Drosophila melanogaster: one gene and its partners. Changing the gene in region 1 together with any one later gene gives a genetic interaction. Each region holds a gene or a part of one and is shown in the gene's direction. Other genes may lie near its edges.

Evidence for each region.
Region 2: of fru (region 1) and to, changing one enhances a phenotype caused by changing the other (phenotypic enhancement), as found in Drosophila melanogaster (one study listed by BioGRID).
Region 3: of fru (region 1) and bon, changing one suppresses a phenotype caused by changing the other (phenotypic suppression), as found in Drosophila melanogaster (one study listed by BioGRID).

Annotation. Positions count from the first base shown.
Region 1 is NT_033777.3:18,539,308-18,550,330, reverse strand, and holds the start of fru (fruitless), read left to right. Parts: upstream 1-4,744; 5' UTR 4,745-5,218; intron 5,219-11,023. UniProt on the Drosophila melanogaster protein: Probably acts as a transcriptional regulator.
Region 2 is NT_033777.3:25,234,671-25,245,693, forward strand, and holds to (takeout), read left to right. Parts: upstream 1-5,509; 5' UTR 5,510-5,519; coding exon 5,520-5,580; intron 5,581-5,695; coding exon 5,696-5,936; intron 5,937-6,003; coding exon 6,004-6,143; intron 6,144-6,197; coding exon 6,198-6,505; 3' UTR 6,506-6,998; downstream 6,999-11,023. Other genes in the region: Sil1 nucleotide exchange factor, read right to left, coding at 1-528, 592-727; Jhbp7 (juvenile hormone binding protein 7), read left to right, coding at 3,043-3,109, 3,167-3,404, 3,530-3,775, 3,831-4,032; CG11854 (uncharacterized protein), read left to right, coding at 7,388-7,457, 7,534-7,771, 7,838-7,977, 8,040-8,344; bam (bag of marbles), read right to left, coding at 8,853-9,322, 9,384-9,754, 9,819-10,306.
Region 3 is NT_033777.3:20,591,094-20,602,116, forward strand, and holds the start of bon (bonus), read left to right. Parts: upstream 1-2,045; 5' UTR 2,046-2,750; coding exon 2,751-2,951; intron 2,952-11,023. Other genes in the region: Pus1 (pseudouridine synthase 1), read right to left, coding at 1-518, 583-859, 915-1,400, 1,464-1,503.

The DNA of each region.
Region 1 (11,023 bases):
TGTTCATTCTCCTCGAGCTTAGTCTTAGTTTGCGTTTTGTTTTTTGGCTGCTGCCTGTTTAGCTCGGCAGATAAGCAGCTCTACTTAGATTGCGGATTTCGTGGAGAGGGATTCTAATTCACAGATCTCTTTTATTTGCCAAAGATTGGATATTTTTTTTATGTATGCCAACGTAACAATATTTTGTATGACTTTTGACCAACTAAATACCGAAAGTTAGTTAGTCACTAAACAATAATAAAAGGGTTCAAATATAAAACCGCACACTTAAATAAATAGCTTTTAAAACTTTTAAGCACTATTATCGTGTTTCTTCAAATCGGTAAAACTGAAGCTAGAAACTAGAATCATCCTAATTCTGGCCTGTATATTGTTATATTAAATTGGAGCTTATAATAGCAAAGTACTAGGCAGCGATTAAAAGTAATTTTGTAGATTAAATAAACAAATAAAAATGAATTATGTTTTTAAGCGGCGCAGTAAATATAGTTTTCTTATTCCCCGTATTGACTGTTTCTAAGTTAATCAAGATGCAGTTAGGCTGTTTAGGACACATTCAATATTTCCCACAAAAGGATATCCAAGCCATTTGACGTTTCCATCACGAATGAACTCACTACCATTTGACATAGTCCTTCTAGCAGGTCAATTTGTATTGGCCACATTATGAGTCCTAGAAAAATTGGAGTGTTAGTTTGATATCCGTATATAACAAAAATTGAGAGCTGCAAAGCAAATCAATTAATGTATTACGAAAATTACCAAGCATAAATGAATATTAATAAACGTAGTACTTGCACCTAATTCGTACTTTACTAGAGTAAGGCATCTTGATTAACTGAAGCCTTTGGTCTTCAAGCAACGACTTTGTTGCCATTTAAAATAAAAATATCATTTAATTAAGTTTAAAATTTATGCCAGGCAAAGAGAGCGCTAAATGGCTTGGAGCTATGAAATAAGAACATGACAAGAGGAAACAAGAGCAAACAGCCGAGGCAAATAAATACAATATGAAATAAGGATAAAAAAAAGGCCGATGGAACCAAAGAGCAGGAGATTTAAATGCAGTTTGTTGCAAGGATATTTTTTTGTAAACTTTACGCATTCGTCGCGACGACTCGAATGCTGAATGCCACGCCCCTGCGCCCCTCCCCCCCTCCCCACGCCCAACGCTGTATGTTTGGCATTTCGGTTACGAAAGCCCGAGATCACGAGACCCAAACGAGCAACATTGTATGGCCCGAAAGAGAGGTAGGCGGTATGGGAGTCCTTGAGCTCCGTCGACGAATGAGAGTGTCGAACCCTCCGCCACCCACCGCCCAACGCCCACCCACCCACTGGTGGCGCCCCCTCAAGGCCACCCGCCAATGTGTAGGCGACATGGACGAACGCCGTTGGTTGGCCGTCGTCGGCGCCTATGTAAACGAGCCACGCATGTGTGCCATCTGTGTGTGTGTGTGTGTGTGTGTGTGTTCGTGTGTGAGTGTGCGTGTATGTAGGTGACATGTACTGCGTACTGCAACAGGAGTCCTGGCAATGGCCAAAAAGGCAGCGGAGTAAATGCAAAATCTGTAGGGAGCCCACACCACCAGACCGGATCCGACCGAAACCATTGCGAAGCCCCCATTTGGAAAAACCCACCAGTGCAACACGGCAAACATCATCGAGCGAGCATTCGCCAGGGGAAGCGATTACGCTGCAACATGTTGCAAGAGGAGGAGTTTGCGCACCGCTGCAATCCAGTTTAGCTCACCGAGGTTCCAAGGCTTTAATTTTTAGCTGAATGTATCGCATTTTATCTTTATTTAATGGTAAATAAAATTGGGACTGCTTCTAAAAATTCCCGTAAACTAATTACCTACAAATATACGGATTTGAAAACTTAATTAAGAGGGATATAACTAGAAATTTGCCATTTGAATTTAGTTCGTTATAAAGAGATTTTACTTTAATTAATTTGATTGCGAAAGGCTTAGATCTATAACAGCTCTAAATTTTTTTTAATGAGCTAACAATATTTTTAAAGGTATAAGGCATTTACCTTCTGAATCTGAATAAAATTTTTTGAACTAAAACCTTTTTCCAACGACTTTTTTTATATTATAATAAAGTTTTTATTTGCTTGTTTGGTTAATTTGAGCTCTCAATTATTTCGCTTAATGCTTCGTATCTAATTTAAATATAAACCTTTTCCAAAATGTGTATATGTTTTATATAATATCAAAATTACTTCGGTAATTATTAAGTTTCCTGAACTGGTATTAAAATTTTCAAAAAAGAATACGTATTTATTTACACTTTTTTATTTCCATATTATTTATCAGAGAAATATGTCTGTTGTGGTAAATATTCTTACGTTAATATTGCAATATTGCTAGATCAATAAACCAAACATGGTTACCAAGTTCGTAATCAAATTAATAGATTATTTGTTTAAAAATATTTCTTAAAAGGACTGACTAATAATATAGCCTTTTACTCTTGCAAAATAAACTGTCTTTTAATAATAATTGATAAAATCAAAGAATATGTAGATAAATATAAAATATTAATAAATTTTTAACCTATGCCATTACACACATTTCATTTTTGAAAAATATTTCGAAAAACAGAAATTCTAATTTTAATTAATTCCAGCACAATTTAGGTCGATTTGTTTATTTATGTATACTTAGTCTACGAACTGTTTCAAGTTAATGATTAAAAAAGAAATTTGTAGTTGCTTCAAAGAAAAAGGATTGATGAAAGAATAAAGAGGTCAAACCCGGATGAATGGCAAACAAAAATGAATAAATAATATTTTGATTACGCTTCATTGCTGGCTAATTTCAAATCGGTGATTCCCCTCGTCTGTCGTTTAGCCCCCGAAATGCATGCCACATTGGGTGGCAGTTAAGTCCGGCTCCTTGGCAATTAAAACGAACAATGCATTTTCGCAGTTTTCATTCGCCAAAAGCGAGGAACCGACCAAAATACCCGATCTTTCATATAGGACAGTCACATAGGGCCAGCACTATATTCCAATTCGCGTAGGTGGAGCACCGACTTATGTAATACTCGATTTTTTGCTGCTCGTGCTATATTTGTTTTTGTTTATTTTCGTTTATTGTTGTTGTTGCGATGGGCTGGGGAAATGCGCAAAAGAGACGGATAGTTGCAACATGTTCGATTGCAGGGCGTTGGAAAAAAGTTAACTGCTGTAAACAGCGCAGGCCTTACAGAGAGAGAAAATGGGGGCAACTCGAAATGAGAGCGAGCGCGAGTCCTGGCGAGAGGAGACTTCGGCAAATGCCGGCCACGTGACATTGTTGCACTTCCTGGCCGCGCGCTTGTGTGTGTGTGTGTGTGTGTGTGTGTGGGCGCTTGATAAGCTTGCAACGAAGCTATTAATCAAAACAGAATCAAAAAATCCGCTTCGCTGTGTGCGTGCGAGAGAGAAACACGTGCCGGCCCAGTTAACAGAGGTCCTTTAGCAGCGCTCTGCTAACAACGCCGGTTGGCAACAGCAAACGTTGGTTGGCTTGGTTGGTGGAAAACTTTCCACTCGGCCTCTCTAATAATAGATTTTATCATTGCCGAGTAAACCGAGTCGGTGTATTTACTTCGTGTAATTAATGCCTGGCTGCTTTGCGATTTTAAGGTGGTTTAATCGGACGATTAGGTGGCTAGACGCTGGTATCAATTGGCCATTTCGCAATTTGCATTTTGTGGTAATCCATTTTCATATTGGTTGTCATTCCCGTAGGGGCAATGAGGCCGTATCGTGCCCCCTTCTAGCGGCGTATTAAGTCGATTGCAAGAGTCTCAAATGTATTCCGGCTTTAGTGCTCAGCTTGTTTGTCCAACACTTGGCACGCACACGCAGCTCCGCAGGTACAGTGTACACCCTGTAATCGGGATCGTAGCGAAAGCATATATTTAATACATTTTTGATAAATTGTTTGTTAGTTTTCCCTACTCATCAATTATTAACGTTAAGTTGCCTACTTATGTTTGCTATTCGTATTGAAATCATATTATATTCAATTAATATTTACTTAAAGTAAACATTGCCTTTTTAAAAATATATATATTTTCGTTTTCTAAAGCTAGTTAATTGAGTACCCACTGTATGTGGCAGTGTCCTTGTACTTTTACATAATAAATCAAACCCCACCGAAAGGAACGGAAATGAAAGTAAGGCAAGGAAGAGGAAGGAAACGAAAAGAAATGCCACTGCGGAAAGCCAAGAAAAGAAAAGTGCATTTGCACGCTAACAGGAGCTGTTACCATTTCACTGATAAGAGCCGGCAAGCGCGAACAGCTGTTCGAGAAAATCCTCGGAGAGAAAGCAGCCAAGGATATCGAGAGCATTTCTCTTCGCTGTAAACGGGCACTGTAAAGGCGGCCAGTTGTTGACTGGGAACTAAGCCAATTGCACAATGTGGGCCGAAGTTGATGTCGTGTTGCTGCTGTTGCTGCTGCTGCTGCTGCTGCTGTGTGTGTTGCAACACGAGCAACTACAAGTGCAACTACACAACCCTTCGACTGCAAGGACTTCGGCAGCAACGAGCATGTATATGTATTCCACCGAACCCACCATGTACTGCGTTTATGTGTTGCTGCTGCTTTTGCCTTTGACGCTGCTGCTGTCGCCGTGCTGCGCCTGCTGCTGCTGCGTTTCGTTGGTGCTGCGACAGCAGAGTCGTTGCAACAATCGCAGCTTGCACATCCAGCAGCAGTCAGTTGGACGCGGCGGCTCCTTCAGCAAGGACGCACAGCTCACACAATCCCTTCGAAGGAAATCAGCAGCCGACATACCGAACGACCTGCCACAACATTCCAATTCAAATCCAATCCAATCCAGACTTTGAAGTCCTGTAAAGCGTTTTACATTCCGCTTACATAAATGCTAGAGCGCTGTAAAAATCGGCGCTAGAAACGCCAATTAGCCAAACATGTTAGCCATGTTTTAGTCGGTCCTTTCGCGCTTGACTTGTTTTGCAACTGTGTGCGTACGTTTGAGTGTGCGAGTGCCGCCCGATTTTGTTTGTCCTTTTTTTTTCTGTTGGTGTCTCACCGAGTGCCGTTTTAAGCCAAGATACTACAGACATACTAGCGACTAGCTAATACATATTAACTTGTTGTGCCAGCGTTTTGTGTGTGCCAGTCAGCCTCTGCTGAGTGCATTTTCATTAAAGTCAACAAGTTGCAGCCGCATAAGGTCAAATAAAAGCAGGTGAGTCTGTGTTCCCGGCCAACAAGAGCCAGGTATTCCTATGTAAAGTTACTTAAAGTGCAGGTGATATGCTCTTCTGAGAGCAGATTTTATGTTGTTCAAATTGTATTAAGTGGTTTTGTGGAATACGTTAAGGGCACAGGTACAAAACCAATATTAAAAAAAAAACATTTGTTTGCTCATTTTCTTTGTATAAATATTTATTTTAACTAAGTCTTTTGAAAATTTTATAATGTGGGTTCTAAAAATATTTAAAGTGCATTCTCACTATGTGCTATCTATTATGAAGTACGTGTTTATCAATTAGGTTTTATATTTAAAAATGTTAGATAGGTTCGAAAACGTTGGGGTTTCCAAGTTTTAATATAAAATAAATATATTAAAATATTTGAGTGAGTATCCAAGCAGTTAATATCTATGGTACTGCAAGAAAATTCACTACGTTAACACATTTAAAAAATATTCATCCATTCACATCAGTACAGATGTATAAAATAATTAATAACAGGTCAGACAAATATATGGTCCTTATTTACCTTTAATAATTACAAAGAATTTTTAGAAAATTAAATCATAGAATCTACTGACAGAATTAAGATATACCTAAATTAAATTACAATAAATTATTTTTCTAAACCACATTGAGGTGTTTTGCAAGAATACTATACTGCTAAGAAACATTCGGTTCAGTTATAACAACAAAATCTTCGAAAACTTTTAACTAGCAAATTAAATTACAACAAAACCTAAAGTTGGCTGAGCACAATTCAAATTTCAGTTTCTTATATTTTATTAGCAAATATCAGTTTACTTCATCTGCATTTGATTCAGTTTATTCAGAAGTTCAGCAGACCAAGGCCAATTGCAAACTGGCTAATCCGTGTTACCAATTTATATTCAATAATATATTTGAGTACTCTTACATCTCCCCCGGCCAACATAAATTTGGTTTTTAAAGGCACCCAAAAATATTTTGACAAATTATGAGGTAGGAATGTGTAGTAAATATTTCCAGAGATTAAATGACAAGTCTAAAGGGAAAATATATCTACGCTCTTAATGATCCTTTGTAATAACTACAAATCTGTGGGCCGGGTGCATCCTGGCCGTGTCCTGGCCATGTCCTCAATTTCGTTGAGTTACAAAAGGTTTAAGTAAGTAAGCAAAACGGTAGGAATCGAGTAATCGCTCTCAGGGGCATAGTTTAATATTGGATTTGTAATGGAAATCAATATTGCCCGAGGAAAATTTATGCAGAGGCCAACAAAGAAAGCAAACCATTCAAATTGAACCGGGCCAATAAAATTGCAGTGCGAAGTTTGCGTCCGAGTTTGATTTGAGTTGTGCTGAATCGTCAGCCTTGGCATTGCCAATTTCATTAGGGGCCATAAAGGGAAAGAGTCCGCTTGTAATTGCAATTAGTTTTATCGTAACTTGCAGTTAAATAATCAAAACATTTTCCCAAGCTTCCGTCCCCATCGTCCGTCCACCGAAAACTCTTTGTAATGCAAAACTTTTTAATCCGACGCCTTGGTTTGTTTACACGAACTGCCAGCGCCCCGCCCACAGCGCCCCCGATCCCTATCCACACTCCAGACAATAACAACAACGTTGACAATAAAAACAGGATTGACAGGATACACCCCAGGAAGTCGATACGCTTAATACCCTTGCACGAAAAGTGCCTAAAAATAGATGGGAATCTATTTCGGTAGAAATTAGGATGATTTAAGAAAGTTACTCTTATTATATGAGTTAAAATAAAGTAAAAAGCAGACCATATCAACTTTAAATTAAAAAATGTGAACTCAAACGATGCAAGAGTATATAATATTTCAGTTAATCTTATTATGAAACAGAAAATCAAGTTAGAGCTTGTAAACTAAATGGATTAGGAAAAAATCGGGAGTATATATATTAATTTTTATAATGATTTGGCAAAATTATATTTTAAATTTCATTAGATAAATAGATACATCTCAAAGGATTTCCTTCGTAGAAAAAAATTGCTTGAAGGAAATGCTGAATAAACTCTTTAAATATTTTTAAAGTCGCATTTGTTTAATACAACTCCTATACAGTTGAGCATATTCTGAATAGCACTTACAAAAAAGTGCTTACCAAAGTTACTAGTTTTACTTCATAAAACAGTACTAGTGCGGCTGCATTTTCCTGAGAGGCTTGTAAAGTTCTTGTTGCAGCAGTGCGACTCCCTTTCAGGGTATGAAAATAAGAAAAATTTGCATATTTACACAAGACAATTTACACACTCTCCCAGTCGGCTGACTGAGTGACTGAGTGAAGGGCCCCTGCGAGGCAGGGACGCAGTTTTCCAGCGGGGCGCGGGAATGCGAGATTGAGTGGGTGGATTGAGGTTATTTTGTAAATTGTGTGTAAGCCGAACTGCTGCGACTGCAGCCTGATGAACAGCCAGTGCCAGAACCGTTACAAAAGTCCAACAAGTTGGGAGGTGGGAAAAGTCGGGGGAAGCACGGGAAAATATGGGTAAAATATGGGTGGAAGTAAAAGGGGGGGGGGTGGCTTGGGGCCAAAGGGCGGTCTGTAACGGATGACAAGGACAAGTGAAGTGAAGTGTCGAGATGGAGCTGCACTGGCGGCTGCTCGTGTTGTTGTGCGGCATGAATTGGGGATATATATACATATATATATATGTATGAATGCTAGTGCTCACAATGCCACAACATACGGAAGTAATTCGATTTTGTTGGCAGAATGATGATGGCCCGGCCCCCAGTGACAGACAGCCTCGTAGAAATCCCAGAGCCATAACCCCATACAGATGCAGAACCCATAGAGAACCCACAGAGTTCCACAGGATGGCAGCATTTCGAGCACATTAAAAACAACTTAATATCTGTGTTGTGTATTTTATTGGGTCTCTTTCCGGTGTCGAGCCCATTATGAGGCATTTCCCAGCAAAGTAATTTAATTATTTATTTACAACATGGAAATTAACAAACATAACTCGGATGGTCTACGGGCGACACATTGTGCAAATTATACAATATCAACATTGCATAAGTTGAGATTGGGGAAGGTGGATCGAGGGGGAGAAAGGCAACGGACACACATGTGCTGTGTTTGGGGTTTTTACAAATTTCATTTCCATGCACTCGACAATTACAGCATTTAATGTTTTTACACTTTATTGTCATTAACAGATTTTATTTTCTATGGTTCTGTGTATATTTTCACGCGATTACGTGTGTTTTTGGCCGTGTTTACATGTGTTCATATGTGCATATGTGGCTTGGCTAAATCGGAAATAGTCATAATATAGTATTATGGGCTATTTGTTGAGTGCACATTAGATAAAAGCTACGGCGAAAGCATCTAAATCAACTGCGGTAATTTATTACAAATTAACGAAACATAAAAAGTGCTCACTGTAAATGGACCTTATGCAATTAAATGCTTTACAGAAAGTGTGAGTAAATTGGCAAATATGGATATGGATAATTCATTTTATTGTTCGTAATAACAATGTACACTTTACTTGATATTTGTGCTAAAAACTTGGATGAGTAACAAGGTCGAAGCTTCTAACTTTAATTGAATCGTAGCAAGTTAGCAATATTTTCATAAGCCAAGTTGCTTGCGTAATTGGTTTACCCATCGCGAAATTGGCCAATTTATTGGCTAATCTAGGATTAGCCTAACTTTCGCACTTGAGGTCGTTGTAAAATGTTACACCACAAAAGAACTGCTCAAAAGTCACGGATAGTTAAACGCTAATGCCGCAAAGTAATTCAAAACTTAAAGCGCACTTTTCGGGGCTCTCGACGCGGTTTTATTTGAGTTTTTTTTGCAGTAACTCTGGCATGTTTCTAATGCTTTTGTGCCAGTAAGTCTGTGCGTAGCACTAACAGGAAAAGTTAAGTAAAATGAAATGAATGCACAAATGCTTTTTTGTTTGAATTGTCTGCAGTTTGCTATCACCAGCACGCCCTTTGACCTTGTAAGCTGGTCTTAAATTTTGCACTGACAGTCAAACGAAAAGTGAAATATTTCAATGAAATCATTTTCGAATCAAATAATGCACAAGCCGTGCCAAAGTTGATCGAGATTATTATATATGGGCTATAACTGCACTTTAAAATATTATTTTAGATTGCCTATCTGCGAATTGGAAACGAAATTTCTTGCAATAAAAATGCTGGCACTTTAAACTCGAATCGCACATTTAACCTTAGGCCAATAATGATACCAGAAGTCTCTCTAATTCCATTTGAATTGGGAATAAGACCATTGGAGATATGCAAATATTTGGCTTATAATTGCCAACCAATTTATCGGTTTGCTTGGACACCTCAACTGTATACACTTTTCAAGTTATATATTTCTTTCTTGCTGTCGTCTTGCCTTCTGCCGGTTTTTTCGACAAACAATTAGTGTGCCAAACCACAAATTGTTAAATGAATTTCTGTGCACAACTTTTCCGGCAGATGAAGATGAAGATTTTACAATCCAGTCGGATCTTACATAAGACTGCCAAAATGCAGCTCAATACTGCAGCTTGGCTGCCAATTAAAGGAGACAAAAATGTCTTTACTAAGCCAGTTGCTTCATAATTGCTTCAATTTAAAAATGCATGAAAAGTATTTGCCCAAATGCTCAAAAATGCTCAAAGTAATAAAATGACTCGGACAGAACTCAAGACAGAATGGCTGAAGGGAGGGCTATATACTGGCTAAAAGCACATATAGAAGAACAGAGAGTTGAATTTGTAAAATTGCGTAAAATGCCTCGACTTGGCTTGGCTAACATTTTGATTACCTAATGCCCATGAGCAGTTTTATTAGGCCTGTGGTTTTGCTCCTTCGATATTTAGTATTTTTCTCGGACAGCAAACGCCTGCATCAATATTTAATTTCATTACAAGCCAAAGAAGCCGAAAGAGCATCAACAATGCCACAGCAGGACATGGCATTTGATAAATTATTTAAAATATCCACATCCAGCACTTGGGTGAAACGCATCCGCATCCGCATCTGCATCCTTTGCTCCTGGTCAAAGACTATTAGATGCGTTGTATCTCAGTCGGCTCGATTAGTTGGACACATTGAGTGCCTGTAAATACCGTTCAACTACAGTGAAGCTGCGCGAAGTTCGACGAAACTCGCAGCTTTACTAAAAATAAACACTGAAAATTACGTGCTTAACGGGGCACAACGTTCTTTTGTTTTAAGCCAAATACATTTATTGAATTCCCTGTGTGTAGGGTTTAATCAAATATAGAATAAATAGGTAGAATTTATTCCTGTTTAAGTTTTAAGGTAGCTAGTTGAGCTGTTTTGACTGTAAGTGTCCTTTCGTCCAATTCATTCTGTCTGCGTTTCTGCTCCATTTACACCTTTTGGTTTTTGGGGTGTAAAACCATTGGCCCGGCCTTATCCAATTTTACACAATTTTAAGCACTTGGCCACGAGTTGGTCCGGCTTTAAATTGCAGTCGAGTTGAGTCCAGTGGCGACCAGTCCAGTCCAGTCCACTCCAATCGAATCCTAGCAGACGCCAGAGACACGGCCAAGTGCATTTTATGTTCAGCCAGCAGACTGCCCTCTATTCTTGCCGCTTTTTACGTGGCAGTGGTATCCCCTTTTAGCCCACTGCTCTTGGCCCGTTCTGTTCTCGTCCTTGTTCTGGGACACAGGACATGAGCACCCTGTGCGCCTGCTTAAAATGATAACGTTGAAAACGCTGGCCCGTCTACACAAGACAAATGTGCGCTATTGAGGCGTGAAAATATTCTACTATAAACACACAATACAGCAGCGGCCAAAAT
Region 2 (11,023 bases), 6.7 Mb from region 1:
TGGGATTGTTGCTCGCCAGCGAGCCCAACACACGCATGGCCGACACTCTCAGGGATGTACTGGTATCGTTCACAACAATGGGCAGTAGTACATCATCCAATCCCCCATTATCAATGAACATCAAGGCATTGTCTATCTGATGGAGCAAATACTCCAGATTTTCCAGGCAGTCCAGCTTGGAGCGCATCTCTGACTCTAGCGGCGTTCTGCTGAAGTTCCGAAACTGATCGATTAACTGGACGATCAGTTCTCCGTCGGTGCGAAAGTTCTTCTGGAACTCTTTGTACGCTTTGCGTAGCTCGGCATAGCTCTTCTTCTGCTCCTTGACCCGCCGTATAGACTCCTCGATTATGTCCGGTTTATAGTCCAGAGCCAGGGGTTCGTTGTCATCGTGAGATTCCCGAGCATTCTGATCATCCGGTTGACTCTGCAGCGACGTGCCACGTTCGCTTTCGTCTAAGAGTTTGGCTTCCTTGAGCCCCGTTTGTAGGTTGATGCGCACGTGCAGGCCCCTTGGAATAGCTTGACCTGGAAATATAGAGTGCTCACTTAGTACACGTCATCCGAGAGTTAGCCTGGCTAGCCATTAACCTTCCGCAATCGTCTGCCATTCGTCGGTGGCCACGAAATCGTTGGTTTTGTTATCCGTTTCCGTTGCCGCTGCCACTTGTAAGCATCCCAGGATCAGGACACTGCCCAGAAGGATGACTACCTGCTTGCCACTCATACTGCTTCAGCTTGTCTTGCCTCCAGAATGTATTCAGTCTTTATTTCACCTGGTTTTAAGTAAGTTTCGTGAGAGTTTTTAAATCAGATTTCAGACTTCTGATGTGGATGTGGTTAATAGTATGACCGTAGGGAGCTGCATTGATTATACCGCATGTGGCGATATGTTCCGTGGAGAGCCAGTCGATTCGGAACCAGTCAAAGGCGGTTACAATTCAATTTCAAATTTGAAAATATTTGTAATCAATAAATTCGTTATAAACAATAGAATATATTAAAGTATTGAAAAAGTGTAAACTATATGTATGCTTTATAATCTTTCTTTATATTTATTAGATTGTGCTGTTGGACATTCCAAGCCAAATCTTATATAAATAAGTAATACAAAAATTAAGTAAAAATTTTTATGGTTAATTTTTGCTCTTAGTCCGGAATAGTTGGAAACTTTAAATGATTTCAAACATTATTTCGCTAACAAATTAATTTTTATCCCTAACGAACACAAATATTAATATTTTTAAACCTTAGTTTGTTGTGAAAAACAAGCATTGCTAGAAATTTCCAGACTTGAAATTAATATTTAAGAACCAGAAAAAGTTAATGCCATTCAGAACGATTAAACCACATCAAACCAGAATGCCACCAAAAATTCCCAAACTCATCGTGAATTCATTAAAAATTGAAAAGTAACCGCCATTCATAAGCTTTCCACTTCGTTACAACGTAGCTAAACTAGTTATAAACTAAACGTATTTACTGAGTTTACAAAGAAAAACGAAATCATGTTTACGCGCAGATGAATCAACCAACTCAAAATTGAAATGCCAAATTATTTGCAGGCAAGCCCGACGTAATAAAATAAAAGCGTGTTTGCATATATTACCATATTTCGCCCCCGAAAATCCGTTGTAATCTCGATGTCTACGACAGCGTCTAGGAATTGGCTGCGCAAACACATCAAAGTGGACAAAAGTGAAATATTTGGACTCACCTGGCGCCAATTGGATGGGTAAATAAACAGAATGCCGGTTTCATGCCAATCACACACCAAATATACATATACATATGTATATATGTAGTATATGCTAATTGCTGATGACGAACGCCAGGAGCCTTTAACTAGAATTTGCCAAATTAAATTCACTCGGCCCGTTCCGAACGTCGCCTGTCCAATAGTTTTGAAAGTGAAGCCACCTCGCCGAGCAACTTTTATCCGTCGATCCATCCATTATCGATTATCGATGCCGTTGGAACCTGTTTGATGTCGTCCAAAATGCCCGACTATGTCTAATTGGTTTATGTCGGAATTGAGTTGTGTTGGCCACAAAAAGATTTATCTTCGTACATATGTCCAAAACGGAAATTTCATAGTTGGGAGCCTTGGGATGCATTCTTCCTTCTGGTCGGAATACAATTTCATAACTTAAGTGATTTTTATCGTGGATCCTTAACCATGACCTATTCATTATCATTCCCTTTCAGATTGCCTGGCCATTTAGCACACTTAGGAATTCCCCCAGAGGTAGGTTCCCAATTCCAAGTGCTGATCTCAAAGCAAATATGGGATGAATAATATCATAAGCCAATAAGTACGAATTGATATTTGCACTTTATTAAAAGTGTGAACAAAGCGCGGATTCCATTTCACGGAGTTTGAATCTATAAAAAGTACACAAGATGCCGAAATATAGTGCAAATTATATATGTATAATTAAATTATATATATATATAATGCATTGCAGGATAAGTGGAAATATATTGGTTAATTGCTTGAAAACTGACTGGATTGAGCATTAAAATTTTGAGTTTCGCTGCCTTTTGTGCGCGTTGCCATTGTTATTGTTTATTGTTATTTGTTGCTGCATGCTAATAATATTAATTAATAATAATGCTGCTGCCAATTCTGGTTAGGGGTAGCTGCGATAAAGATAAAGACTGCGATGTCTATGATGATGAGGAGAATCCATAACACGAAGCGAAAGAGATATACACATACGAATAAATAAAAAAAAAATATAAATAAAAATAGCCAGCAATCAGACAGACAACAACAACAGCAGCAGCAGCAACAACAAGAAAAACAAGGGCCAAGACGCGACAAGTCAGGAATGAATAAACTATGAAGTGTACTGGTTGTTGTTGGCCACATTTGTTGCCGCTCCATCGTTCTGGCCGATCAGAAATTTTATAAATGCCGCCGTCTGTCCAGAGCCGATTTACAGTTTGCCATTGAACCTGGTCGGGCATTCGCCAAATCGTCGAGCGGTTGAATTTCGGGGCGCTTGAATTTCGTACGTAACTAGATCCATATCCAGAATGATGCTGCTCCAGCTGGGCTGCGTGGCCCTCTTCTGCTGCTTGGTTAGCGGTGCCTCGAATTTCCGTGAGTCCTTTGGCCAACAATCCCAGTGCTTCGCTAATCGCCAGCTTATCCTTGCAGCTCCCGAACTGCCGCGCTGCCACATGGGCGACACCAGCTGCATCATCAACGTGTCGCACATGCTGATCAGACAGCACGCGAGGACCGGCTATCCGTCCGCTGGATTCCCCCAGGTGGAGCCCTTCCTGATCAAGCGCTTCGACATCTCCGACGGACGCACTGGCTCCCTGAATCTAAAGCTCAACTTCAGGGACGTGAATGTGGAGGGCCTGTCCAGTGTGAAGTTCGACAGAGCCGTGTAAGTAGCAAGTGAAATGAAAAGTGATTTCCTTCTTAAGCAAAAGTGAAGAAGTTCTCATGTTTATTAACAGAAGAAGATATATTAAGTTGATTGCACTTATCCATCATAATCGTATTTTTCAGTGGCTTTGGCGCTGATCCTGCAACCAGCAAGTTTGAGATGTACGGATCCTTTCCCAAGATCGTGCTGAAGGGCAAGTACGTGGCGGATGGACGCATCCTGATCCTGCCGATTCGTGGCGATGGCGATGCCGAGATCGTGTTGCACAATCCCAAGTTTTCGGTGAAATTCAAGCCGGGCACACAGCAGCGCAATGGACGCACCTACCTGAGCGTGGATAAGCTCAAGGTTCTGGTGGAGCCACAAAAGTAGGTGCAGTTCGGATTTTAGCTGAGATATACTAACATATTTGTGTTCCCACAGGATGAACATTCGGCTGGAGAACCTCTTTAATGGCGACCAGGCATTGGGCACCAATCTGAATCAGTTCCTCAACGACAACTGGACGGAGGTGTGGAACGAGCTGCATCCCTCCATTCATGTGGCCATCGCCGAGATCATGAAGAGCGTTCTCTCGCAGCTCTTCAAGCGCTTCGCCTACGAGGATTTATTCCTCGAGAACTGAGCACTAGTCGTCCTAGTCGCCATCAGGCGCCCTAGGACTTTAGGCTAAGTGTACGAGTATTTCCTCACCTATCCAAGCTATTCTCACTCACATGGGGCGTTGCATTCCGGCATTCCGGCCATTGACACATCATCATCGTATCATCGTATCTGCTAAGCTAAGCTTTAACTTGTAGAATAAACAAAAACATTCGAAAAAAAACTGGTTCTGCTTCTGCGGGGGGCCATTGTTAGCTAAAACGTGGATCTCACTATTTCCGCACAAGTGTCGCATACACTTTTTGTTTCATTTTTGGCCAGCAATCAGCAATCAACAGGCAGCTCACGTGATGGAACGATTGATTCGAAATTTGCATGACAAAGGCATTATTGCTAAGGTGACTATACTTGTGGATAAAAGCGTAGTTATACATACGCTTAAAGTATTAAAACATCCAACAAATTGAAATAAACACCTTAATTATTATGAGCAAATACTTTGTGTCTTAAAAAAGACGAAGATGCATGCTCCTACTACTACTCCTACATCCTGTGCAACTAATTTAGCCCAAAGTGCACTAAAATTAGTATATGATATGATGATATGATATATGACTAAGATCTGCTTGTCTTAGAATCAAGAACTAACTAAATGGCAGTGCTATTAATCTGAACACAACTGTGCTGTCACTCATTGCGAACTCATTTCACTGTCCAAGTTCAAGAGTAGCCAACGGTATAGCTGCCATCCCGATCCCAGGGAATCGGACACCCAGTTGGCCTTGGGTCAGTGAAAATCTTCCACGAGCGAGCAATCAACTGCAGCGATTCCGAGCGAAACAAGTTGCTTTTGTTCTCCACGGGGGCTGGACTTTAAAGCGGGACACTTGGTCATTAAGTTAACCCAAAGTCTAGGACCTGTTCCGAGCTACTACTCCACCGCTACTCCTCCACTGCCCTTCACTTCGATTCGCAAGAACTAAAGCCAACTAAAGAACTGGTGGTCACGATGACTGCGTTGTTTTCGCATCTCAATTCGGCTATATTTGGAACTGGCCCTTTTGTGAGTTGCACACTTGCCAGTTAACTTTGTTAAGGGAGAACTTAATACCATGACTTTTAATTGGACATAATCTGTCTGATACTTAAATTCATTGAGCGGATTTTCGATGTAACTGATTGATGAAGATTAAGGTGAATAAGAAGATTTGCTACATGATCTACTTGCTGTCTAAAGTGCACCCAAATGAGGTGATAAACTAAGGCTTGTATTGAAATTAGAACAACGTTTTCTTACCTAATACCATCAGATGATTCAGTTGCTATTCGTTATTAGTTGATGATTCTGAAACGAGCTCTGGAATTGACAGACAGACGGTTACGGCACAGATAAGAGCTATATCAAAGGTTGCCATTAGACGTTATTTGAGTTGCACTTAGTGGACCACTATAAATACTAGGCGAAAATCCCGTTCGTATTCAGTAACTTAAAGTTATAGACGTGTTAGCATGTTCGCAATCGCATTCGCAGTGGTTTTGTGCCTTTTGGTCTCGGTGGATGCCAAATTCCGTAAGAGAAAGTCCTTTAAAACAAGACCTTGCCAATGAAGTAATAATCTGGGAAACCTAGATAGACACCTACCTCTACTTTTCGGTTCCAAAATAATCCTTTGTGTTCCTCACAGCCGAAGATCCAAAACCTTGTAAGTATGGTGATGGCGAATGTATCATGAAGCTGTGCAACACCCTGTTCAGCGAAAACTCGGCGGAGGGGGATCCTGGTCTGAACCTGATGCAGCTGGATCCGTTGAAGGTGGATCGGATGGTTATTAGCCAGGGTGAGAGCTCCAGTCCCGTGGGCATAACTCTAACCTTCACCGACAATCTGTTGTATGGGATCAAGGACCAAAGGATCGTCAAAGTAAAGTGGGTGCAGGAACAACACTTTGTTTGGATGAGAAGGATGTGATTCAACTTGCCTTGATCTTTGCAGGGGTTTCGGAAGGGATCTCACCGCCAAGCACGAAGTGAAAATTGTCACGAAAACCTTCTCACTCGTTGGACCCTATAACATCCAGGGCAAGGTACTCATTCTACCGATCAGCGGAACTGGACAGAGTAACATGACAATGGGTAAGCTATGCCAATTGATTTTTCAGATTTCGAGGAACTAAAAATCCTGTCCAGTTAACGTCAGGGCAATCGTCAGCTTCTCGGGCAAACCGCTGGTGAAGAATGGGGAGACCTACCTGGACGTTACCGATCTGAAAATAACGATGAAGCCGGAGTCCAGCCACTACCATTTCAGTAATCTGTTCAATGGGGACAAGGCGCTGGGTGACAACATGAATGTCTTCCTCAACGAAAACTCGGAGGCCATTTACAAGGAGACGGCCAAAGCAATCGACCGATCCTTTGGCAAACTTTACCTGGGCGTCGTCAAAGGTGTGTTCTCCAAACTGCCGTATGCCAAGTTTTTTGCGGATGAATCGTGAGTTAGCTCTTCAAAGTGGGCAGAGTCCACATAAAGATACTAGATCATGTTGTTTGCGTACTGACAGATCTAAGTTTTGAGGCTAGCAATCATCATTAGGTTTAATGGAGTTCGTGTTTCGCGTTTGAAAGTGAGAACACAAGTAACTACTATTAAGCCATCTCAGCTAAATAATCTGTAAGTGTTGTGTGGCAATAAAAGTTACATATATGTAGTTAGCACATTGTAAATTATTTATAAGTGATACAAAGAATTCTGTAAAATACCATAAAAACATTTAAAACTATGACCCATTATTAATTAAGTTACAGTGAGTGGAACCCTATAGATCAGGTTGATCCAAAAGATGAAGGACCGCCTGAAAGTATGTGTTATTCGCGCGCGGAGATTCCGAAAGGCAGGGAATATCTGTAACTGGAAAAGGCAGTTACATTAAAAAAAAGCTTGATAAACAATCTTTGTTGACTTAGCCATTAATTAGACGTTGAAACGGGAATTAATGTGCGTTTTGGGGAAGGCCGATCCAATTTGCATATATCGAGCAAATTGCACCCAAAACGCGATTAGGAGCGATTGAATGGGACGGGGTCGATGTCTGGCTTGGGAGTTGGGAACTTGGGAGTTCATTAAAGGGAATCGTAAAATGAATTCGCCGGCTATAACCAGCCACTTTGCCATACAGCCAGCCTGCCGGTTTCGGTTTATAATCCATTTAACTGACTCAACTGCCAAACGGTCTAAAGTCAAATTCTGTGCGGCTGAAACGCAAAAGCGGTTTACGGCAACAAAAACATGATACATTTCAATTGACGAAAGTGACTATATAAGTGTTAACGCCCGCGGCTAATGGATCAGTACTCGATTACGTTCGCCGCCAGCAATTATGGAGCTAACTCTCGCCCTCGTCCTGCTGTTCGGATGTGCGTCCACCTACGGACACGCCTCCGATTTCCGTGAGTTGCACACACCCCCTTTCCGTAATATATAATGTTTATGTATATTTCACAATCGCCACGCCCCAATTTACAGCCTCGGGCATCGAGAGGTGCGCCATAATGGACGAGCAGTGCCTGGAGGACAGGGTGAACTTCGTGCTCAGGAACTACGCCAAAAGCGGTATCAAGGAGCTGGGCTTGATCCCCCTCGATCCGCTGCACGTCAAGAAGTTCAAAATCGGACGCAATCCGCACAGTCCGGTCAACATCGATCTCAGCTTCCACGAGATGGACATCTTGGGTCTGCATCAGGGAGTTGCGAAGCGAGTGAGGTGAGTGGATCCTCATTTCATTTTATGATCGCTCTGCTTACTACATTTTTCTGTTTCGGATTTTAGCGGATTCACAAGGGATCTCAGCCGCTCCATCGAGCTGGTCATGGAAGTTCCAGAAATAGGAGTCAGAGGACCCTACTCGGTGGACGGAAGAATACTCATTCTGCCCATCACCGGAAATGGCATTGCTGACATACGCCTCAGTAAGATTTGCCTCCCACAGCTTTGAAATCTAAAATTTTTAATGTGTTTCTGGAATTCGCAGCTAGAACAAAGGTACGTGCACAGATCAAATTGAAGCGCGTCTCCAAGGGCGATCATCAAACCTACGCCGAGGTGATGAACATAAAGGTTGAGCTGGATCCATCCCATGTGACCTACCAGCTGGAAAATCTGTTCAACGGCCAGAAAGATCTCAGCGAGAACATGCACGCGCTTATCAATGAGAACTGGAAGGACATCTTCAATGAACTGAAACCGGGCATTGGCGAGGCCTTCGGACTGATAGCCAAGTCGGTGGTGGACAGGATCTTTGGCAAACTGCCGCTCGAACAGCTCTTTGTAGTCTAAGACCTTAGTACAAACACCCTAATTAGTCCAAACACAAATCGTAAATATTTATTTGACTTTCAAAATACAAATGCAAAGCAAATAAGAAAAACTGGTAAGTTCCTCATACAAATAAAACGTAGTTGCAAAATAAATTCAGGCACTAAAGGATTTCTTATTTCTAAAGTTTAAGTAAAATACAGATTTATAAAAGTGAAAAGCAAACACATTTGTAGTTTTGCCAAATAAATGTAAACACAGTTAAACTTATATAAATTTGTTATCAATCTCAAAACAGGGGTAATAAATCGTTTTCATTTTGATTTTGTTTGTATCGATTTGATAAATATTTTTAAAAAGCTTATATAAGCTTATTCACGAATACAAATATGGAGTCCGCACTATTGGACAAATATATCTTACACTATAGATATGTTTACTTTACGAAATTATTGCTTCCCATGAGAAGAGTAGCTTTTTTAAATTGCATATTTGCTGTCATTCTTTTATCGATGTGCACAGCATTAGTTTAGCTTCTGAAGCGAGGTACACGTCCGGTGTGACGAGGTGGCGATGATGGCACTTCCTCGGTCTCCTCAAACTCCTCCTCCGACGCTGACGGCTGCTCCATGCTCACTGCGCCAAGCTTCTGTGGCCCGCAAATGGCGACAACACTGGGCGGGAAATAGGTCTCTGGATTGGCGATCAGAGCGGAGAGGAACTCATGCTGCTCCAGAACGCAATAGATCGGACCTCCCAGTTTGTATCTCTGGGCGATGAACAGATCCTCCGCACTGATTCCACGCGCTTCGGCCGCCCTTAGCTCGGCACCGGACAAAAGGATGGCCCGCTCGTTCAACGACTTGTGGCTTTCGGTCATGGCCCCGGAGTAGCGGTGCTCCAGATCCATTTCCCAGTTAAATACGTGCACACTGAGATGCGCAGCCTTGATCCAATCGCGCAGACCAATTAGCAATCTCTCCATGCGCTGAGTATGGACTGTAAATAATAAAATCGTTGCAGGAATAGCTGAATGGTTGCTTGCAAATCTACAGCTTACACTTGTCCGCATTGCTCCCCGAGTTTCCGTTTCGATTGCGCATTTTGGGCTTTAAAAGCAGTTTGAAGTTGTCCAAATAGGATGCGAAACCCTTAAGCAACTTGTCACACTCGTCGTATTTCTCGAAATCGAAGTGGCGATTCGCCTCCAAGGTGCGGCGCTGCTGGACAAGGAAGCGCTCTACTTTGGTGCACAGCACCTGCAGTTGGTAGCGCACATTCAAGCTCTTAGGCATCGTGCTCTTCACCGGCATATCGAACAGATAGTCCGAGGGCATTGAGTTTTGGCGCGAGAAGCCCAAATCGGCGGTCAGGTGATCATGCAGGGATCTGAACAGATTCATCAAACGCAGCACGGCGTTGTGCTCTAAGCTATTGTTTAGATAAGGAGCTTTTTATTATGTGATATATTTGGGATATACTCCAGAAGACTCACCAATCGCCGTGCAGACCAATCATATGCAGTTTCTCAATAGTTATGGGCAGTTTCTCAATATTATCCGCGGACGCAGAGCCTTTACTCTTCCGGTTCCACACATTTTCCTTCTGCAGTTGCTTCTGCTTTGGCCCGGTGACCAACACGCCTCCGGATCGCGACTTCTTGGCCGGAGAACCGTCGAATGCAAAATGGCGCGAGCGCTTTTGAATCTGTTGCAAGCAATCCAAACCGTGGAATTCGAGGAGTGGTGCAGTAACGTCACACAACCGGAGTCTACCGAAGTTCTCCTGGATTTCGGATAAAACGCCCGATGTGCAGGTTGCACCATCTTCGTTCGTATCCTCGTACTCACAAGTGGCTTTCCTCGGATCTTCGTTTTCATTGCCTTCCACCATTAAGGCCAAATGCTCCTCCATCTGCTTAAAATTGTGGTCCAACTGCTGGTCGTCGTTGCCCTCAGGACACACGTCACGTGCATTAAGCATTATTCTTAAGTTAAATCACACAAATCACTCGATTTTTGCCTTTTAAATCTTTCCTTATCGCCAGGTTCTTTTTACCGTTTGAAATGCCTGACGCCACGCTGTCTGCGAATTCAGGAGAAAGAGGAAGAATGATGGCGTCCAGACTCTTTGTTGTTAACGTATCGATATCATGTCGAGTCCCAGAACAGGGTTGCCGTCGCACAAATAAGTTTCAATTTATGGTCACCTCAAAAGGTCATTGACCCGGGCGCATTTAAAGAAATTTGAAATGCGATTCAATAATCCATTACGAACTTTACATTTTAACTACAATTATACACACTGATTTGGTCGATCACAACCAAATCAAATTGCTGATTAATTATAAAACAACATGCAACAATTTAGGCCACCTATATTTTAATTATCTAGTGGTTTTGTATAAAGCAAGCCAAAGCATTATTTAACAATTTGGGATTTATCACATTTTGTATAAATTATCATATATCGTGACAATAATAATGAAGTAGCAATAACCCATTTTCATATTCAATTTGTTTTTGTAATTCTGACGACGATAAGCTTCTAAAATTGCGCGCAAATTTAGAATAATGTATGGCATCCCCACTTCCTAACATCTGGCAGCTCCGTTAATATGACAAGCTTAGCTTAGACACAAACCAGTATACATTTTACATTTGTTGGTTCGAATACTGACTAGTTAAACAACGTGACTAT
Region 3 (11,023 bases), 2.0 Mb from region 1:
CATTGTCGTCATCACCACCTTTAACCTTCTTGTCTTCGGAGGAAGGTGGAGGCGCGTCCTCCGTCCGCGTGTCGTACGAGTGATAATGCAATGTTCCTATCCAGTCGAGCATGTTACGCTGCTCGGCTTCCGTCTTATAGATCTGGCTAAAGATCTCCCTCTCGATAAACTCCTGGACTTGCGCCTCCTGCGCCTGCCATGTCAGCGGATTGTGGATGCCGTCCTTGCCGTAGCGATCGTTGTAGCGCTCGTAGTGCACTGTGTCCAGCACGAGGCCCAGTCCAGGGGCCATCGGCAGGTCCAGACGCTCCTCCGTCAGTGCCCGCTCTAAAGTGGCCGCCGTCGTGTTCCCCCTTACAATGGCAATGGCTAGACCCACCATCTTGCGAATCTGGTGCAGCATAAAGCTCTGACCCTTAACCTTAAGTGTGACAAATTCGATGTCCTGGGGACTCCGGAATGGCTCGCTGCTCGTAAAGGACATGATGAAGCGCTTGGACGAAGGATCCAGAAAGCTTCTACAAGGGTAGTAAACAAAATATTAGTTGGAGCAGAAATGAAGTATAAACCTGGCTTATTTACTTCTTGCTGGTGAAGTTGTGGAAGTTCTTCGTGCCCTCGTAGAGCTTCAGGGTTTCTTTAACCTTCTGCAGCAGCTCTGGTGAAATCCGGAAGGTGTCGTGCACGTCGTCGACCTTTTCCTCAAACGGAGCAAAGGCCACGGTGGGCAGTGTGTAGGTGTAGGTCCGAGCATTGCATTGATCCTTGGCATTGAAGCCCTTAGTCACGCGTTCTACGCCAAACAGACGGATCTGTTGCGGCAGATCGGCATTGAAGGCCTCCAGGTCCAGCTCCTCAGCTGCAGGAAGGAATAGGTTTAGTATTGTCTTGTAAAATAGAATAAGTAAACTAACGCAGCTTGACGGAGCACACCTGGCGGGCGGCGGAGACGCCCTTGTCGGTCCTGGCCGCTCTTTGGAAACAGGAAATCTGAATCTGCTCAAAGCTGTCCTCTGTAATCCACTTGTGCTTTAGCATGGCTTTGAAGAGCTCCTCCTCGATGGTCTGCATGCCGGGATTGCGCTGCATACCATAGTAGTTCGCACCGCAGTAGCTAAGCAGGATGGCGCTCTTCTTGCGCTTGATCCGGTCGGCGGGATCGAACGGCGCTCGCTTCACGCCGTTGGCGGCATCCTTCTCGTCCTGCTCCTTCCAATCGACCCATTTCTTGCGTTTAAGTGTTCTCTTGATGCGGTTGGCGTCCTTCACGGCTTCGCCCTCCAGTTCTTTGGCCTCTTTCCTGGCTTCCTTCTCCACCTCCAGTTTATCTAGAGCCTCTGACATCGCTGCGGCGAAGGATTTGTGGCGATTCCAGGGATTGCAAAGGGTTTTCAGGCGAACTATTGTAAGAAAATTAATTATTATAAATTCTCGAATTGGAGGTGTGATCACTAATAATTAACCTGCCTTGGTGTAGTCGTTTAAAAGTCGTCTTAAAAACATTAAGTAAACAATTCTGGATTTAAAGTGGAGGAATTCACACACGTGTGGTTGTGCTTCTTCTTCTTGCTCTGTTACGGATCAGCTGTTTTATTTAACAGCTCTGTTTGGCTAATACAAATATGTTTTTTTCGAAAATCGCGTTCTTTGAATTAGCTCAATAATTAAGTTGAGTTTCCGAAATGCTACTTTTGATTTACTTAAGTTTTAAATTAGCTGTGTGGAGAAAAATGTTCAAAGCTTTACGTAACGTTATGACTTAACAGAACGAAGACGTTACAAGTTTATTTTAAAAATTATGTTATATTTTACTATAACCTTTTAATACCAGGCTAAGTTATTAGTTTTAAATTGTAAATAAATGGCATCTTGACCATGTATTACAACATTAATATGATTTTTTACGAAATGAACGGCGAATTCAATTGTGGTATTGCCAGATCGCGTGTTTAGTGTGACCTCAGCTGCTTACGTTTCCACGGCCGTGCGTAACAGCCCTCGAAATGCCGTCGTACTGGCAACGCCGACATGAATTAATTGAATCCAAAATGGCTGAACATTTTTTGTACAGAAGAAGCGTCCAACGAGAGCAAACGCCGTGAGACCGTGTGTTTTCGCAGCGAATTACGCCAATAAAACCGCACTAAGAGCGCGCTCGCAGCGCGAATAAAGAATAGCAGCCGCGTATGGACGAAATGCGGCACGAATCGCTGGAAAAATCGACGGCCAGACCGAAAAATAGCAGCGAAATTCGAGCGAACGTCGTGTATAAGTAAAACGAAAGTTGTGTCGCTCTGTGCGAAAGAGAGAGGGAGAACCCAATATTTTTGCAAGCCAGAAGTCGAAGGTGAAATTAAAATGCATTAGCCACCCAATTGAAGAGGAGTCAACTACGAACAAAACTTTAAGAATCAGCGAAAAATCGTTTGTGAACATCCATACAAGCACAAATCGTTGTTTTTGCCTGCTCTCGTGTAGTTCCTGTGTATTGGTGCGCGCGCCCTGTGTGTGTTTGTGCGTGTGCGTGCGTGTAAGCATTGGAATGGATTAACTACCCAACTAATTCCAAAACAATAATACCGCAACATAATCGCAATAGTCATGCCGTTTCAAGGCGACAGCCTTTAGGGAAACATTCGGTCGGTCGGTCAGTCAACCAAAAATCAGTTGCTATAATTAGCACGCCCACGTTTTAATTTCAACGATCGCCAGCAACCGCCTACGCGGTTAAATCGCAGGACTTCGCCAACATGGATATGGATTTGGAGCAGCTAAAGAACGACTTCCTGCCGCTTATCGCCGGGATCAAGCAGGAGCAGCTGGATGCCGTGCCCACGGATGCCCTGCCCCAGATGAGCACACCAAACACGGCCAGCGGTGCGCCCACAACCTCGTCATTGAGCTCCTCTTCGCTGAGTCTGAGCAACCCCTGCGACAGTGCCGAGAAAAGGGTATGTTGCTAGTCCGTATCACGCGTTCGTTACCTATAAGCTAACGCCAAGTTGAGGTTAGCTAAAGCCGCCTAATCACACGTGCTCTTGCGGCTGATAACAAACAGCCGGCTCAATACACATATTCCCCTGCTCTGCGCAGTCTGCTCAGTGTAAACTTTTGTTTTGGTTGGATTTTGATGCGCTCGTGCTGCGTCCTCCTTATCAAGCGTTTCGAATCGAGTCTCGTGCAAAAAGCGTTTGTTATCTTTTTCCCAGGCCAAGGCAAACAAAGCAGCGTATTCACACAACCAAACAAACAGCGCGCAATGGCAAGTGTTGTTGTGTTTCACTTTCACGGCCCAGTCCGAGATCTTACAGTGAGAAAAACGGCGTGCACTTTGCTCTATTTTACAGTATATGTGTATATATAGTTTTCTATTATTTTAAAATTAATATGACTATGCAGTTTTAATCTTGGATATACCAGTTAAGATGTAAGAAATGTGATGTTATCGAACGTTGAATCAACTTTAAAATTAGTTCTAATATACAAATTTTTAAGTTGTTATATGAAAAAATGAAAAATAATATACCAACTTAATGCAAGAATTTAATTAAATTAAAAAAGGTACAAATTAAACATTAATTATTAGCTTACTGATTGAGAATTTTTTTTTTTACTGTGTAGTGAGTTAGGGTCTCGTGCCGATGGTTCTCGATTCCCCTATGAGTGCGAGCAAAACAAGCTGTTTCTAGACAGTCGCTACCTCGCTTTCACTTACGTGGAAGGGCTAAGTCAAGATGGTCTCCCTCTCTTGCAATTGCAGATCAGCTGCAACATGCAGCTGCCACTCTCCAGATGAGCGGCAATAGAGTGTGTGTGGTTGTGTGTGTGCTCTCTACTGTGTTTTGTTTGCTCTCCGTCGTGCTTGAGCTGCTCTTTAAGCTACAGTGGAACCCAAGTAGATCATCCTAGTGGAAAGCTTGAACATAATTGTCCTGAAAAATAAAAAAATACTATAATATTTTAACTACTTCAATCTAAAGAATTATTGAATTGCTTTTACACCTTTTTGTTTATTTTCATTGTATTAGTTACTTACTGTACAGCCAGATAACTTGCCTTAACTGAACTTCCAATATAATTTTGGGACATACAGAATATAACTACCTTATTTTCAACGTAAATTGGGCAATTTGAAAGTTTCATTTAACACTAACATTATGAATTAAAATCAACGGCTTGTGATTACAATAAAACAAAATTAATGTTTTTCACAAATGATAACCGCTTTAGATGACACTAATTGGTCACGATATTTTATTATGTGTGCTAAATAAAACAAACACGTTTTCATGTATGTAATTAAAAATTCGAGCTCTAACTTTCTATGCGGCATGTGATACTTCTAGTTACGGAAGCCTGACTGTATGAAAGACTCAAACTTCTCCTGCAACCGTGCAAATAAATGTTCGCCTAGAGTGGGCCTTTTGGAGTGGCCACTCTCTCTTGAACCCCAACCAGGGATTGGGAATGACATGCACTCATTCAATCCGTCCCTCAATCATGCAAACGGTTGTGTTTGCTGTGGTCGTTGGGGGCACTTAAGACCCCCAGACTCCATGCCCAGTCCCCCCCCCCCCCCCGCCTGAATCCCCTCCAGATCACTTAATGCCCATTTCTGATGCGGGCAAACTATCAAGTGGAAAGTACTTCGCCGAGGCAAGGTGTGGAGTTCAGAATGGATGATGATGGGGATTTCAAAGGAATAGCTTTTAGATTATTAATCCTGTTAAAGATTTTCATACATGCATGTACATAACTACAAAACAATCTGACTTAAGAAACTGCCAAGCACGGAATAGTTAAATAATTAATATGAAAAGAATTATCAAAGAATTATTTATGATCCAGTAAGAATTATGCGATCCTTTAGATTTCCTTTAGATTTGAATGCTAATTCTTCTCTTGACGGCATTTTTTTCCTTTTCATCGAGTAAATTATTCTAATTTATGCATGACTTCACAAAACTAACTGTACCTACTCATGAATACATGGAATACATGATGTCGTTAAGTAACTTTTATGGGCGAAAAACATAATAAGAATTTCTCAATAAAGAGAGAAGACTTAAAATTCACGGATAATTTTTTCCTATATATAGTAAACAATGATACCTCTGCTCATATTAAACTCAAATGATTATTAATTTGTTTTTAATTAAAATTAGCTTGAAAGGTTTTATACATTCATAAACACAAGGTCTGCTTTTGTGGAGACTTTCTTTTTTACCTTTATACTTCCGATTCGGTAAAACACTCAAAATCACTGAAGCTTAACTGAAAAGAGAAACCTATTCATTTGTAGCTCCTGTCAAAATGGCGGGTTTCGGCATTAAAAGTGACAGCTGATGGGGAGGTTGCCGCTGGCGGGCATCCATATGTCATCTCAAAAACACTGCACCTAAATGCATTTTCCTACCCTCCATGAGGCCATATTTAATACTCCCATAAATACGTATGTACGAACGCTTGTCGTACATACATATTCATGAAGTCATGTCTTTGTGTGTTACCCCATGCATGCGACAGGTTGTAATTAAATTGCTTGACATCGGAATAAATGAAAACCCAAAATCGTACGACGCCATTTTGTGTTAGATACCGACGAGACCCGAAACGAATTCTTAGAATCCGCCTTTAATGATGTACAATTAACTTTAATTTGATGAGAATATGCAAGCAAAGCAAAACGAGGAGAAGGCAAAGTGCCGATGGCCAGACGCCGGTGCTAGGAAACCCCAGCCCCCAAAAATAAAAGTCGTTAAATGCACAAAAAAGTAAAGTTTCTAATTAACTTGATTACCCTGAAATAAGGGCGGGTAGATCTTGGAAAATGACTCTCTTTTCACTTTACTCGAACTACCTGGCATTAATGCAGACATCGGGATTTTAAAATGCTGGGATTTTATGGCATCTATAGTCAACCATCCCCTTTGTGATCCGATTGAACGAATTTAGGATTAGAAATAATACTCTATACTCTAAACTAGGTAATTGTGTCAAAGCCAATATGTGCATTAAAGATTTTCTGATTTAGTACGCTCAATGTCAAAATAGATATTCAACATATTTTTGAAGTGAACAAGAGAGGTCGCTCTAGTCTATTCTCGTTACTAGTGTTTTATTTTCGAGTTCGGAAAAAAAATTTTAAAAAAGATTATATGTATATTTGTTTTACTGTCTACTGTTCTTTGTACCTGTTATAAACTTTTAATCTTATATTAATAGCTTTTTGTTATTTTTAGGAGAAAAACCATCTTGGTTGATGTACATTTTATAAACTCTCTCAGTTCCGAACTTATTGTTAATAACGTTTAATTGGAACAAACCATGAAAACATGTTTTTTTCTAAAATGTTAACAGCTTTATAACTTGAAAGGTGGTTCCATTTAGGGACGTTCTCCTGTTTATCCAGGATATACACATTTTAATTGCTTTTCCGGGCAGTCGGTGGGCGTAAGGCCGCCCTAATCCATCCATCGACGTCCAGTGCGTAATTAAAGTTGACTGCGACTGCGGGATCAGTGCGGATGGATGGAATCGGATTGGAACTGAAAAAGGGAATGGGAGTGGTGTAGTTGTAGGTGTAGATGTGGAAGTGGTGCTCGTTGGCAACATGTGTACGCTGGTCGCACTCCTGTGCGGGGATTAGGTGCTACACAGGACATAATCCGATCACAAAAAGCGGATTATAACGCACAGCAACAAAAATGGTGCAGTCGGGCGGCCGTGGCAAAGGGAAACCGAACTGACGCCACTTTAAAAGTAGAGCGTTTCTGTCAGTGGAGGGGAAATGCAGAGGGCAAAGTTTTATAAGCTGCATAAGTCCTGAGAAGCGAGTCTGTCTGATTTCCTACCATCCTACGGCAACAGACAGCAGATGTAAGCAGATTTCTGAGCTGCGTCAGCTTGTTCAGCTGCCGCCTTGGCATGCCCCCAGATACGCCTACGCCCAAGTCCCGGTACCATCCATATCGGTTATAATATTGCTATTCCTGCAACTGGCGTCACGATTTTCGGGCCCCCTGCTGACTGGGAAGTCTTACCGGTTTGTGTATCTACATCAGCGGGGAGTCGCCATTTTGGAAAACACTCGTACTCTCGTAGTTCGTGCACACTCCATCCAATCCATATATATGTACATATTATGGTGTATACGTGTCTGCTGATGCCATGCCCTCCGGGAGCAGGAACAATTGCAACGGGCACAAAAAGAACCGCAAACCGCATCAGCAGCAGCAACAGAAACAGCGGCTGTGACGGCTTTGGTAAGCTCCAGAGACCGAGGGCCACCGGCTCGTCGGACCAACGTAACCACAACGCCCTGCCCAGGCCACCGCCAATGCAACCCGACGCAAACCTCGACCGTCGTCTGCAGCAGCAGCAGCATCGCTGGGGTCCAAAATCCGGGGACCAGCCGACAGCTCAGTCCGTTCATTAGTTTGCGGTTTCCTGGTTTCGTTTCGGTTGGCTCCACGTCTTTTGGTCTCTTGGTCCCCCACCAAAAGATTTTCAATACTGAATTTATGCTCGCAACATGATTGGGAGTAGTAATTATTATACCTTCCGTTCTGTAACTAGTCAAGTTTTCCCAACCCAAACATTGAGTTTGAGCACGAAATAGTAAAACTTGCCTAAGAGAATATCAAAACTGGTTTTCGTTCGGGACCAGAAAATAAAATGGCGATTTCTAAGTAGTAATACGGCGAAACTAATTAAGATAAGACTATCATAGTGGTTTGGGTTAGCCAATGCCAACCGTAGTCGGAACCAAATAGCAACTAATAATGTTATCATCCGGCTTTCTCCCGCTTCGCTCGTCTCTCCTTAAATTTTGTTTATGTTTAATCTGCTTCTTGCTTTTAAAGTAAACATTTCATTCAGCAAACAGCTGTGTAAATATGCTACAAATTGCCAATTTTCCATACAGCTCATTAGATGATAAACAGATTATGATTAACTGATAGCCTTGAATTAGTATTGTAGAGCATTGAACCGCTCCGCTATTAAGTTTCCTTTGATCAGGGAGGTTCGGTAACTATCTTCACCAAGGATCTAATCGATCAACCCATTTAACAAACGACCCTTGCCTGCCATTACAATCTCAATGAATCACTTTATTACTGCTCGTTGGATGTGTCATTCTCGGTTAGAAGTTCCACTTATCACTTATTCCATTACGAATACCCGAAGTCCCAACGAAAGGGTCTGTCAGATGATGACAGTTCGGTGAAATAGCAATTTTATTTACGTCAACCAAGTGAACTTCCTTCGGTTAGGACCTGTAGTTTGCCAGTTGCGACAGCTTTTAATGGGTTCCATCGATTTTCTCATAAAATAAACCAAAACTTTTCTGTTCGTGCCATTTACGATTTCCATACAATTAAATCTTTACGACTGAAGCGATGTGGCTTGAGACATTCGAGCAAAGAAACCAAACCGAAGGATACAGAAGTATAATATTTAATGAGTTCCGTCATAAACAGCCCCTTTTATGGGAAGACGTTAAAATACAGATAGCTTTTCAAATTTTCCAAAAAAATATTTTCGAAATATATATTCTGAAAATACTTGAGGTATTTCACTTGAAAATTTTGGATATATGGTGTATGAATATATAAGTATATAAAAGGAAATCCCGAGTGCCATCAGCCTTTTTCTCATTTGCCTTGTGTGTGGGTATGTGCGTAAATGCGTAATCATGGTTTTTATGAAACCATTTCTGTAGAAATTTATATTTATGTACAGTACACATACTTTTTTGGTGGCTTAAATTGCGTTATGAAATGTAATGTCGGGTCATTAGGGTTTGTCCATTAGGTGGGTTTCGGGTGGTTCAACACCCAGTTCGTGTTCCTCCAACTCCTGGGCGGAAATTGCAGCAACGTTGGCCGGATATGCCCGCGATTAAAGCGAATGGCCAATGGTCCAAAATGGCGAAGCTTCTCTCGCTTCCTCAGCCCTTTTCCATTGGTAGGAGATACGAATCGGATTTGAAGTGCTCCTAACGATTTGAAATTCGTATTTGGATTGGAATGCTTTTAATGCGTGTGCGACGCTTCTCGCTGCGTCTGAATACTTACAATTTTATTTATTTATTTATGTTGAACTCGCGGATTGGGTTTGTTTATATGGACATCTGGCGGTGGCCTCGCCATTAATATTTATCAGCTGCTGCACCTTTCCCGGCTTTGCAGCTCTGTTGCCTTCCTCCATGGCGTCGCATAAATCGCAGCAACTTTGGCCCGACACGCCCCTCGAACGCCCCGATTTTCTCTGAACTCGCTTGGCTCACAAGTTCCAGGTACAATCAAGTTTTTCGCTTTTATTATGGGGAGTATAATATATTTTATACGGCTCTATCTGCCGCCGTCTTCTCGCTCCCTTTCCACCTTTTCTACCAATTTATGGCGGCCATTTTGGAGAGGTGGTGTCTTTGAAATTTTAGTTTATTGCAAAGTCTCATAAATATTTCAAGAGCAAGTTTTTTCGTCTTCATCTCGTTCCCGCTCGATTTATAAACCTGGCCAATTTATATTAGTCTGCGAGGAAGCAGGGCATTTTATGAGGGGTTGAAAGAGAAATGTATCATGAGGTTCATGGACTTTGATGTGCCAGTCTGTCACCTGAGTCCCACTGCTCAGTGATGAAAAAGTTCTTTTGAGTGCTTTATGTATGTTCCATAAACACGATTGTTCATTGACTTGGCGGTGAGGCATTTATAGACCCAGTCAATTACGGCGAATTCATTTTATTCGATTACCAGTTGACCCTGGATCCATTATTATCGGTATCATATTTGGATTCCCTAGTGCATTGTTCAAGCGCTTAGGAATCTGGAATCTGGAATTTATGCACCCGCCCCTACATATCTGGGAAGCATTTCCAATTTCATTACTTTGATCAGACTTAATGAACCGGCGACCATGGAGCATATCGAATGGATCCGCCTTGCCCAAAACGAGTAACTGCGGCGAATGAACCTTGAATGGAAAGCGTAGCAAACTACAGGCAATTATTTTCCATTTGCGTAAATTATACATTTAAATTAGGTGTTGGCATATTTCCTTTAAAGGTACTTGTTGTTTTAGCACTCTTAGTCACGTATTACGGACAGTCTGAATGATGCATTGAAGATTAGCCATTGTCGAAAATGGGCGCCCAACAGAAATCCAGAACGTAATTAATTTTCTGCTTTTGTTGTATCAAAGGATTTTCCCTTCCGTCCGAGAGTTCAAAGTACACATATGCCCGTGCCATCTGATGCCTGCCGTTTTGTGTTGTAAATTTGCAAAATAAACGAAATTGACGTAGGAGCAACAATAAACAAGCGATGGCCGGCCATCATCAACCGGCATCCAGCCGTCTGAAATCCGAAGAAACTCCAAAAGGACCAGCATCATTGGGCTTCATCTCTATCTGAAATCGCCATTTAACCAGCAGGACGACAGACCTCCCATGATGCACGTCTCATATTGCACTGATTTATGGTCCGGTCAGTGGGCGGTGGGGTGCGTATGTGGCATGAGTTGGTTCCCAGTGGGTGGGAAACCACCCAAAAGTGCAACACGAACGCTGCAACTGCACGTCGAACGACATCGACCCACCCACCCACAAGTGCTCCAAAGTGACGGGGAGAATATTTTCAACTTTCCACAAATTGCATTTAAATAAAGCTTAATTAAATTTTAAGTCTACCTGAACTCTAAGTGACAAGGAATACCTTTTATGAGGCCAGAACCACAGAATGCCAACTGAGTATATAGTGGAATCCGATTGCGTGGTTTAATCACACATAGGGGTTATTACTTTAAGTGAAACTGAATAACTGAATAAATCAGCAAATTGCATTTGCTCTGTGCAGAGTTGGTTATAAGTTTACCCGCTATTTCGTCGGAAAGTATGAAACAGGTGTAAGGAAGAATTTCTGGCCCTTGGAGTATACATATACATAAATTCTTATTGTAGTCAATCAATGTGGCCACGTCCTTTTGTCCGTATGAACGTCCGTATGAGCGATAAAAGC